3 linked regions of the Caenorhabditis elegans genome follow. The protein of the gene in region 3 interacts with the protein of the main gene of each other region in a pairwise test. Each region holds a gene or a part of one and is shown on either strand. Other genes may lie near its edges.

The links.
Region 1: the proteins of rfc-4 (region 3) and hpr-17 interact in a two-hybrid assay, tested with the Caenorhabditis elegans proteins (3 studies listed by BioGRID).
Region 2: the proteins of rfc-4 (region 3) and rfc-1 interact in a two-hybrid assay, tested with the Caenorhabditis elegans proteins (3 studies listed by BioGRID).

Annotation. Positions count from the first base shown.
Region 1 is NC_003280.10:13,155,302-13,159,054, forward strand, and holds the start of hpr-17 (uncharacterized protein), read right to left. Parts: upstream 1,747-3,753; 5' UTR 1,734-1,746; coding exon 1,644-1,733; intron 1,593-1,643; coding exon 1,511-1,592; intron 1,460-1,510; coding exon 1,110-1,459; intron 488-1,109; coding exon 62-487; intron 1-61. Other genes in the region: F32A11.1 (Mitochondrial import inner membrane translocase subunit Tim21), read left to right, coding at 2,038-2,163, 2,223-2,282, 2,344-2,619, 3,230-3,430, 3,478-3,594.
Region 2 is NC_003283.11:14,644,109-14,647,861, forward strand, and holds the start of rfc-1 (Replication factor C subunit 1), read right to left. Parts: upstream 1,872-3,753; 5' UTR 1,744-1,871; intron 1,694-1,743; 5' UTR 1,638-1,693; coding exon 1,604-1,637; intron 1,548-1,603; coding exon 1,480-1,547; intron 1,434-1,479; coding exon 1,329-1,433; intron 1,286-1,328; exon of another isoform or gene 1,279-1,285; coding exon 510-1,278; intron 461-509; coding exon 141-460; intron 88-140; coding exon 1-87. Other genes in the region: pmp-3 (ATP-binding cassette sub-family D member 4), read left to right, coding at 2,645-2,693, 3,082-3,374, 3,425-3,564.
Region 3 is NC_003281.10:6,970,512-6,974,264, reverse strand, and holds rfc-4 (Replication factor C subunit 4), read right to left. Parts: upstream 2,013-3,753; 5' UTR 2,006-2,012; coding exon 1,944-2,005; intron 1,898-1,943; coding exon 1,819-1,897; intron 1,774-1,818; coding exon 1,679-1,773; intron 1,631-1,678; coding exon 1,570-1,630; intron 1,505-1,569; coding exon 1,248-1,504; intron 1,201-1,247; coding exon 1,068-1,200; intron 1,015-1,067; coding exon 784-1,014; intron 737-783; coding exon 650-736; 3' UTR 548-649; downstream 1-547. Other genes in the region: eef-1A.1 (Elongation factor 1-alpha), read left to right, coding at 2,585-2,728, 2,782-2,950, 2,999-3,753. UniProt on the Caenorhabditis elegans protein: The elongation of primed DNA templates by DNA polymerase delta and epsilon requires the action of the accessory proteins PCNA and activator 1. This subunit may be involved in the elongation of the multiprimed DNA template.

The sequences.
Region 1 (3,753 bases), on a different chromosome or scaffold from region 3:
CAGTTTTGTTGCGAAATTCGTCCTTCTCCTCCATATATTAATTTTGTTTCAATTTATAAACCTTCTCAGAAGTCATACTCGACATTGTAATAATATCAGTCGGGTCATGCTCCAGCTCTGTTCTCACTAGCGGCTCCGGAATCGGTGCAGACTTCCGCCTTCGCTTCGAGAAACGACTCGGCTTCGGAACATTCGGATTGACACGTTTCGCGTATAAAATTCGCCCAATCATATGAAAAGCTTCTTCTCGATTCGCTTTCGATGCACATATCACACTATTTCCACTTCTTCTATCAGCATTCGGTCCAATCGAATTCATCTGTAACATATTCATAGCGATTCTCAAATCGCCTCCAGCTTCCTCTCCGATCACATTCAGCTTTGCATCGGATAGTGGGGAGCTCAGGCAGTTTGAAGCGCGGACGAGTGCTTTTTTCATGAAGGAGTCAGCAACTGGGTTGAATGTTACTGTATCTATTCCATTCATCTGAAAGAAAAAAAAAGGATTTTTTGCTTTAAATTGCTTTAAAACACGCCTATGGTGTCACAATGACCGAATATCATGATTAAAAAAAATTAAAAAATTGTTCTAGATTTTATATGATTTTTTGAAAATTGGAAAAATCTCAGTTTTCCCCTCATTCCTATTTGAATTTCCGCCAATTGGATTTGTTCGGTGGAGCGCGCTTGCATTATCTTAATTTCCTGATTTTCTTCATTTTACATATTTTTTATCGGAAAATGAAAGAAATAAACAAGAAAAATGCAAAATTTTTGTTAAAAAGTATTTGAAAATGCATAAAACTGTGAATTAGCATATATTTTATAGTTTTACGCATTTTCAATTACTTTTTAATAAACATTTTGCATTTATCCTGTTTATTTCTTTCAATTTCCAGTAAAAAAACATATAAAATGAATAAAATCAGTCAAATAATGAGAATAAATAAAATTAATTAATTAAAATAATGCAAGTGCGCTCCATCGAACGAGTTCAATTGGCGGCAATTCAAATAGGAATTAGGGGAAAACTGAGATTTTTCTAATTTTCCACAAATGGGCATGTTTTAAATCAAATTAATTTAATTTAATTTTCCTCAACTACTAACAATGTTAAAGTCCTTGGTAAACAATCGATCAGGGTTCAAATTCCAGCATGCAATACTATTCGTGAGGCAGAATATCACGGGATGCCAAATATGTTGCAGAACTTCTGACAAATCTTCTCGAAACTTCTCAGCATCACTATAAGCTTGATCAGGCAGCTCTGTGACGAGAAGAAGCCGCTTTTTCAAGCCACCACCCCGCAAGCTTCCATGTCTCCGCAACAAAAACCTCCGCAGCTGGGTGAAATCCGGCTTTTCACACTCGAAATCTTCATTGTGAAGATATTCTGGCGAATATTCGATGATTTCGATATTCTGCTCTGTGCACATCACTTCGACAGTCGTCGATTTGCCTGAAAATATTAAAAAAATTTTTTAAAAAATTTGTTTTAATTAATAATAACCCGAGCCAGCTGGTCCTGTGAGGTACATCACTCCTAGCTGCTTGTTTGACTCAGAAAATACATTTTTGAGCCAATGATCGACCTGAAAATACAATTGTTGCGACTTTTAAAGCTTAATTGAGACTAATCTCACCTCTGCAATCTTTTTATTGTGGATTTGGAGCTCATCTCGTCGCCGTGGAGCAAGCTCAATTGTGAGCAAATCGTGTTCAGCGGCTTTCATTGGAGAATTTCAACTGGAAAATCAATTTTTTTACAGAAATTAATGTGGAAAAGCCTTTTAAAAGGAGAGAAGAAACTAAATTCAAGTTTCCCGCAAGGACGAGAAACGCGCAAAGAAAGTTTGCTGGCGCAAATCTGTACGCTGACGCACTATCGGTGACCTGCACCGGACGGCTGTTTTTTTTTTGTTTTTTGAACTGTTTTTCTGGAGGCAAACATTGTTTTTTTTTGTTTTTTGATGCCTAAACTTTAAAAAATAGCCTTCTAGAATATTTTTTAATTAATTCTTAATCTTTTTCAGATAAATGGCGGACGCAGAAGCTGCTGCCACACACCCGGACCATGGGCAAGCTATTCCAACCGCCAAATCCATCCCAGACGGCGGAAAAGTTGTCGATCCGATCGACAGATACACGGCTCTAGCCGTACGGGTAAGAATTGGGAATTTAAAACATCAAAAAACATCACCAATTTTTAATTGCTTGTTTAGGGCGCAATCGTCGGTGTCGGTCTCGCCGGAGTCATCATCTATTTGAGAAACTCGAGATTGGTAAGAATTTCTCGCAAAAAAATATTTCTACTGAAAAATCATCGTCATCATAATGTTGCAGTTCCACAAATTCCAACATGTTAATCAAATTCCCAAGGATTTCATTCGAAAGGAGCTGGAATTAAAGGGACGAGTACGTGAGGTACTTCCAAGTGGAGAACTTCGTGTCGAACATGAGCCAATTATGAAGATTCCGTTCCTTCCAAAGCGAAAGAATGTCGATACGGGCCTTCTGAATCTGCGGCTGGCCGGTGTAGAGCTCTCTCAATCTGGACAGCAATTTTTGGCGAAGGATTTGAGGCTTACCAATAAACCCGTCACTTTTACCGTTATTAAGGTATGTAAAACATGCATATGGGGTCACAATGGCCGAATATCATGATAAAAAAATTCAGAAAAAATTTCTAGATTTTATATAATTTTTTTTTGAAAATTGAAAAAAAAATCCCAGTTTTCCCCTAATTCCTATTTGAATTACCGCTTGGAGCGCGCTTGCATTATTTTCACTAAATTATTTTATTTATTCTCATTATTCCTCTGATTTTCTTCATTTTCGGGGGGTTTTAATCGGAAAATGAAAGAAATAAACAAGAAAATTCACTGAAATTGCCTAAAACTGTGAAATTATGCGTTCCAACGACGACGAGCCTGAAATCAGTGTGTATTTTACAGTTTTAAGCAATTTCAGTGCTTTTTCTAGTTTATTTCGTTCATTTTCCGATAAAAAAACCCCAAAAACTGAAGAAAATCAGTGAAATAATGAGAATAAATTAAAAAAATAATGCAAGTTTCAAATAGGAATTTTTCAATTTTCAAAATCAAAAAATCATATAAAATCTAGAGAAAATTTTTTAAAATTTTTTTATAATGATATTCGGTCTTTGTGACCCCATAGGCGTGTCTTAAAGCAAATTCCCCACATTTTTTACCTAAAATCTTTAATTTAGGACGTAGAAGGAGCTCCGGACGCTGTAGACGCCGATGTTACCGTCAAAAGAACAGCATTTGGCCGTACTAATCTCAATCTGGAAGTTGTCCGCCGAGGCTATGCCCGTGTCCCAGCTCCGGATCAAGTTAAGCATTTGAAGTCGCTGCAGACGATTCCGGCTTACTCCAGGCTTATTAGTAGGCTTCTTATGAGTGAAAAGGTGCGGAATAATCGGATTGGAAAAAAATTATATAAATTAATTTGCAGGTTGCCGATCGTAGAGGAGTCGGAGTATGGGAGCGTGATACATGGGTGGAATCCGTGCAGTCGTACCCATCGCAAGTGACAGGAATTATTCGTTCAGCCGCTATTACCAAGGCTGTGGTATGTTTTTTATTGGAAAATTTACAAAAATAGTAATTTTTTTAATTGGAAAATTTCCAAAAAAAAATCCGCCGAATTTCTTTTCCAAAACTTTTTTTTTCGTTCAAAGTTTATGTTTAAGATAATTCCAATTAATTAATTCTCCTGTTTTAATCACAT
Region 2 (3,753 bases), on a different chromosome or scaffold from region 3:
TGTACGAATTTTCGGATGCTGCCGGTCATTACAAATGCAAATAATTGGAATTTTAGACTCCTTGATAATTTGGATGAGCTCAGAGATCTGTAAAAATAAACATTTGAATATTAATATATTAGTTCTTCATTTAAACTCACACCAGCTCGATCCTCATTTCCAGACATTCCGTCGACTTCATCCATAATCAGGATATGATGAACCTTTTGATTATCTTGTGGAGCACACTTTTTCGCTCCGAAAAACTGCTCAATTTGATGAGAACCAGAGAGTTCGCCAATTTTCGCTTCGAGATGTTTCTTACTACGCACATCTGATGCATTCATTTCGACAAGTTGAAGGCCCAGTTGTTGACAAGCCATATAGGCGCATGTAGTCTTTCCAACTCCAGGAGAACCCGATAAAAGAGCTGCTTTGAATGATGTACCATCTTGAGATGACATCCATGGAGCTGGTTTTGCTGAAAATTGCCGATAATATTATAATAAAATAGAAATAAAATTACTTACGCTTCTTAATTTTTGCCCCTTCGCCAAGATTGTGTTTTGCCCAGTCTTTAATCCATTCCAAAAGCTTATTAATTGGGCTTTTGTCTCCATTCTGGCCAACAAGTTCTCCCATCCTTTTCGGCTTATACTTATCAACCCATGAAAGTGCTGGGGGTGGCCCACTTGGTTTCGGTTGAAAAACGACTGATGACGTGGAAACTTGACTCGACGAAGATGACTCGGAGGTTACTTTCGGTGGATCTTTTTTCACTGATAACGCCTTTTTCTGTGGAGTTTCTTTTTCTTTTTTGACAGGAATTGATTGCTTCTTTGGGAATTCTTTTTTGACAGAAGGAAGCTCTTTCTTTTTCGGGGTCTCCTTTCTCTTTTCAGGTGTCTTCTTTTTCACAGTAATAGGAGTGAACGTGTCAAAACTATCATCAGAATCTACGAACTCATCGTCCGACACTTTCTTTGTTTTAGTGTTTTCTTTGGTCGACGGGCTGATCTCCACTGGCTTCTTAGCTGGCGTTTTTGGTTTTTCAACAGTTTTCGGAGCAACTTTTGGAAGTTTTGATGCAGATGGCGCTGGTGAGTTTTTGAAGAAGTCTGCGGGATTCACTAATGTTTTTTCGACTTTTTTCTTAGGATCATCACGTTTCGAAGATGACGAAGAAGGTTTGAACATATAATCCAGCGTTTTTTGACCAACTGGTAACTCCTTTTTTCCACCCTTTCTTTTCTTTTTTTCATCAGTTCCGCGCACGAGCTCGTCTTCGTCAGAGGTTATCTAAAAGCTAATTATTGCGATATTTCATGGATATTAGAGTGCTTTCTCACATCGCTCTCTTCTTTTTCTTGCTTTCTCGATCTTTTTGGTGCAGTCTTTTTTTGAGGTGCATTTTCTTCTTCTTCGTCGTCATCGGTTAGTACTACTGGCTTTGTCTGAAACATTTCTCAATGAGGGTTCAGTTCACATGAATTTCCGAACCCTTTTTTTCGCCGGTGTCGCTGCCTTCTTTTGCTTTTCCTGGGTGAATGGCATATCATCATCGGAATCTTAAAAAAAGAAATTTCGTAATACACATTTGCACAGAATGCAATTTGTTTTTTACCCGAAGAAACCACAATCTTTCTTTTTGTACTCATTTCCTTTTTTGAGGCGATCTTCCGTAAATGTCGAGGGATTGGATTCTCTCCGTCGGCTTAAAAAATATAATTTTTGTTGGGGATTAAAAACTATAGAAAGGCTTACAAAAATCGCCAAAATCTGGGTGTATTTTCGTAATTTTCGGTTTCGAAAAAACGATCGAAAAGCAGGAACAATCTTGAGGAGCCAAAATGAAAAAGAATGAAAAAAAAAGTTTTAAAATTTAAAAAACTGAGCGGGAAAAGCAAATTCCAACAGAGCGTATTTGCATTTTTGAAATCGTGCCGAGGCCTTATTCGGCTTATTCGTAATGTCCCTTTAATTTCTACAGTATGAAAATTGCAATTTATTTTTCATAAATTTTTAAGATTCCTTGCTATTTTCCGTTCAAGAAATTCGTTACATATCTTCCCGATTTTTTGTTGATAAAAAATTAAATTCTCGTCTTATTTCAACTCAAAGATCCTATATAAAACTGATAATTCTCCTCGCACGAATCACGTTATAAATCTGAATATAAAATTCTGAATATCAAAGGGTCCTCATCTTTCCCCCAAAAAGTGCCCAATGCTTCCCCGCCCATCATTTTTTTCTTCATCGTCTGCGTTTGCAATCTCTCTTTCCGCTTGCCTCACTTTCTCCTGTCCCCCACTCTCCTCGTTACACTGTGTGCGGACGCAAATGTATTTGCGTGTACAGCTGACCGAACTTATTCCTGCAAAACCGTCGAAAACTGAAGCTTTTTCTCAAAATATTCGAATCATTATAGTCTGTTTATTTATGTTTGGAACATAAAATTGTAATAATTTATGCCGAAAGCTTCATTTTCTGTTTTTTTTTCTGTAAAACTGAATTGTTATCAATGCACAAAAACTCAGCAGCACCTTGAATAGCTTTTGTTTTTTAGTTTTGTTTTGATCGTCGTTATCTCTATTGTTATTGTAAATATAAATTATGTTTTTGCATGTTCACTCACAGCCAGCTCTTTCCAGATTGCACATCCCGCATGGAGTCGGATCAAGAAATTCAACTGGAAGAAGTACGAACAGAAAAAGGTGATAATCATTATCCATTTCTGTTCTTCATTGTCCACGTCTCTGTGCTCATTTCTTTGTGCTCTTTTCAACGCCTTTATCGACCTCATTTGGTTTGAATGGGATGGTATGGCCGGCCTACGTTTCTTTTCTTTTTTGTTTCGGATTTGAATGGTGTTTGGTTGTCTTAAATATTCTCCTTGAAACATTTTAAATTCCAGAAAAATGCTTTGTTTTTTGCTCCGGTTGATCTCAGTAGAATTGTCCAGTCATAAAAAAAGCTTCAAGTTTGTCTAAAATCTCCACTGAAATTCACTATTTTTCTTGAATTCAACTCCACTCCTCCTCTTCTTAATGTCTATTTCTGGGGCATCTTCTGAAAAAAGCCTTCCTAATCACAAAATTTCAGGTCGCAAAAACGCCTCGGCCCAAAATCCGGTCAAAATGGCCAGATTGGCCCTCGACTTCCTCTTCTTTCGGAGGTTCTGGCGTCTTCTTAAAATCCTGTTTCCATGTCATCGTCGATCGATAACCGCGTGGCTCGCCGGAGCACTGCTCATCGCAACTGCTCTCGATCAAGTAATGACGTATTTAGTTGGAATCCAGCCAAGTCTGTTCTACGTGGCACTGGGAAACAAGGATGCTGACACGTTTAAAATTCTGTGTGCACGGGGAGCCGCGATTATTCTTGGAAAAGCTTTTGTAAGATCGAAATTCGATATTTTCTCATCCTAATTAGCGTTTAATTTCAGACATTAGCAGTATTCAAATATCTTACAAATATGTTAGCGATCAAAAGTCGTCAAGTATGTAATCTCACGATGCATAGGTTATATTTCAAGAGACAAGCTTTCTTCAAGCTATCTTCTTCTGGGGATATGCTTGATAATCCGTAAGTTTTTTATATAAATTAATTTTATAAAATCAAATAATATTTTACAATTTTTCTTTTAATTGAAAAGCTGACTATGAGTTTTTAGATTTTTCGCTTAATTTGGAAAAAACCAAGTTAAGCTAGAATTTGAAATTTGTTCAACTTGTCATTGTCGCAACAGCTAAAATACAGCTTAGAATAAAAATA
Region 3 (3,753 bases):
GAGCAAGTGTGATCAGGAGCAGGTACACGGATTATAAGCACTGAGACACATTGACTCGATCAAATTTGAGTACTGATCAGACGGTGGACTTTCGAATTGACCCCACTTTCTCTAATATTAGTACAGAGTCAGGAAGCTTCAATTGAAATCATATGGAAAATGAAGCAGAGCTATAGTAGAAAAGAAATTCACAATGAAATGGGATTCAAAATTGCCTCAATTCAAATTCTCACACAAATTGCTTGAGACAAAAAAGCTCTTGAAATTGGATACTTCCACTTCTTCAGCTTCATACCAAAAATGAAAACTGCTCAATGGGGCGAGATTACTTAGAAAATGGAAGGGGAGCCGAGTCTTCAAGGAGCGAAAATCGATGGGCGACAGAGGGTGAAAAACTGAGCGGAGAGCAAAATAGTTGGGAGGGAACTAGTAGTTATTTATTCCAAACTATCCTATTCGATATTTTGTATTCAACTGAAAAAAAACCTAAGCCGAATTGTACCTTCAAAAAAATATAATAATCTCAATGTTTTGTCGAAATTTGAGCACAAAACTATTGTTTATAGAATGTTAAAATTTATATATAGTACACGTGAATTTTGAAGTTGAGAAATCAATGGGCAAATTGAAACCGTATTGTGTTAATTTATCATTGGATAGTTTCACGAAGAGTGAGCAGAAAGTCGAGGAGATTGTTTTCCAAATCACATCCATCCAAAATTCGCTTTTCGCAAGTCTGAAATTGAACTTTCATTTCTATTTATGTATTCATCTTCCACCAACCGCAACCAGTTTCCCCATTACTCCAATATTCTCGTCATTGATAACATCTTCATCCATCAACTGTTGGAAACAACGACGAATGAAAGCAACACCAGTGCACGATTTTGTGATATCCTTTGTCAATGCAATTATTTGGGGAACATCAGCAGTCAGGATTGATTTGCAAACGTTTGAAATGAGTAAACTGTCCGAAGAACCACGGAGATAGCAATTTCGAGCATTGTCATCGCCCTGGAAATATAAAGTACTATTTTTACACAATATTTATAGAAAAAACAACTAACACTTTTCAAAATTGGAGCCAATGACTGAAGTGTACATACAGCTCGTCTCAAATCACCTTCTGAATATTCCATAACTTGTTTCAGTTCATCATCACTCATGGGAGTTCCTTCTGCATCACAAATTGTTCTCAATCTAAAAACACCGAAAGTTATAAAAAACACTTAATTTTGAAATTTCACCTTTGAACTTGAATCTCGGCTGGAAGTGATTTGAATCGGAACTTGGCACAACGGCTCACAACTGGAGGAATCAATCGGGAAACATAGTTGCAGATGAGAATGAAGCGAGTAGTTTTGGAAAAATCTTCAATAACTCTGCGCATTGCTGCTTGTGCTTCTCGGGTCATCGCATCAACTTCATCAAGTATGATAATTTTCAATTTGAGAACATCTTCCCTATGGCTGTGGCCCAAAGATGACTTGGAGAAGGATTGAATCTAAACAGGAAACGTTTTTATAATTATGGAATTCTTAATTAATTAAAAATCAGTGGCAATCTTACTTTTTGACGAACAACTGCAATACCACGCTCGTCCGATGCATTCAAATCAAGAACCCTATCGCTGAAAATATAATTATTGGAAAAAATTATCACCCAGTATTTCACTTACTGGAAAATATTTTTTGGGAAGAGTTGGCGGCAAAATGCAAGAGCTGCTGACGTCTTACCAGTACCTGGTGGTCCATAGAACAAAAGATGTGGTAACTGAAAAATTAAAACGATTAGTTTGAATAATTTTTTAAGCAATACGTCTCTTCCTTGAAGCGCTCCTTTCAGCATTGTGACGACTTCATCCTGGTATGCAATATCGTCTAGCGTTTTTGGACGACTGAAAATTTGAATTTACTTTGCAAATCGAAAAACAAAAAACTAACTATTTTTCTGTCCAGGTGAGCACCTTTGGTCTTTTATTGTCAACTTCCATTGGTTCTTCCATTGTTTCTGTTAAATTAATGAATTTTTCATAAAATAAAGACATTATACAATATAAAAATGAAGAATTTATTGAAAATAAACTGCCAGAGAGAAAAAGTATGCAACACTCCCGCCGAGAGTGTTTGAAATGGTGTACGGTACATTTTCGTGCTAGGAGTTAGATGTGCAGGCAGCAACGAGAGGGGGAGAGATTTTTTTGGGCCTTGTGAAATTAACGTGAGTTTTCTGGTCATCTGACTAATCATGTTGGTTTTTTGTTGGTTTATTTTGTTTTTATCTTTGTTTTTATCCAGATTAGGAAATTTAAATTTTATGAATTTATAATGAGGTCAAACATTCAGTCCCAGCGTTTTTCCTGTTCTCACTGTTTAGTCGAATTTTTATTTTAGGCTTTCAACAAATGTTCTAACTGTCTTATTTGTGACCTCACTTTTTATATTTTTTTAATTTTTAAAAATATTAGAAGTTTCTAGGATAATTTTTTCGACTTTTATTCTCTCTACCGTCCGCACTCTTCTTACTTTTAAATTAAATTGTTTTTTTTTCAGTTGGGAAACACTTTGCTCACTCCGTAGCAGCCATGGGAAAAGAAAAGGTTCATATCAACATCGTCGTCATCGGACACGTCGACTCCGGAAAGTCCACCACAACTGGACACTTGATCTACAAGTGCGGAGGAATTGACAAGAGAACCATCGAGAAGTTCGAGAAGGAGGCTCAGGAGGTAAATAGTACAAACAACTAGTTTGAAAGATTTTCTCACCCGATTTTTTTCAGATGGGTAAGGGATCTTTCAAGTACGCTTGGGTCCTCGACAAGCTGAAGGCCGAGCGTGAACGTGGTATCACCATCGATATCGCTCTCTGGAAGTTCGAGACTGCCAAGTACTACATCACCATCATCGATGCCCCAGGACATCGTGATTTCATCAAGAACATGATCACTGGTACGACTTTGTTAAATTTTTAGCTCGTTTATAAAACTTTAATTGCAGGAACATCCCAGGCCGATTGCGCCGTCTTGGTCGTCGCTTGCGGAACTGGAGAATTCGAGGCCGGAATCTCCAAGAACGGACAAACTCGCGAGCACGCTCTTCTTGCCCAGACCCTTGGAGTCAAGCAACTCATCGTTGCCTGCAACAAGATGGACTCCACCGAGCCACCATTCTCTGAGGCCCGTTTCACCGAGATCACCAACGAGGTTTCTGGATTCATCAAGAAGATCGGATACAATCCAAAGGCTGTTCCATTCGTCCCAATCTCTGGATTCAACGGAGACAACATGCTTGAGGTCTCCTCCAACATGCCATGGTTCAAGGGATGGGCCGTTGAGCGCAAGGAAGGAAACGCTTCCGGAAAGACCCTCCTCGAGGCTCTCGACTCCATCATTCCACCACAACGCCCAACTGACCGACCACTCCGTCTCCCACTCCAGGATGTGTACAAGATCGGAGGAATCGGAACTGTTCCAGTCGGACGTGTTGAGACCGGAATCATCAAGCCAGGAATGGTCGTTACCTTCGCTCCACAAAACGTCACCACTGAAGTCAAGTCCGTTGAGATGCATCACGAATCTCTTCCAGAGGCCGTCCCAGGAGACAACGTTGGATTCAACGTCAAGAACGTCTCCGTCAAGGATATTCGTCGTGGATCCGTCTGCTCCGACTCCAAGCAAGACCCAGCCAAGGAGGCTCGCACCTTCCACGCCCAGGTCATCATCATGAACCATCCAGGACAGATCTCCAACGGA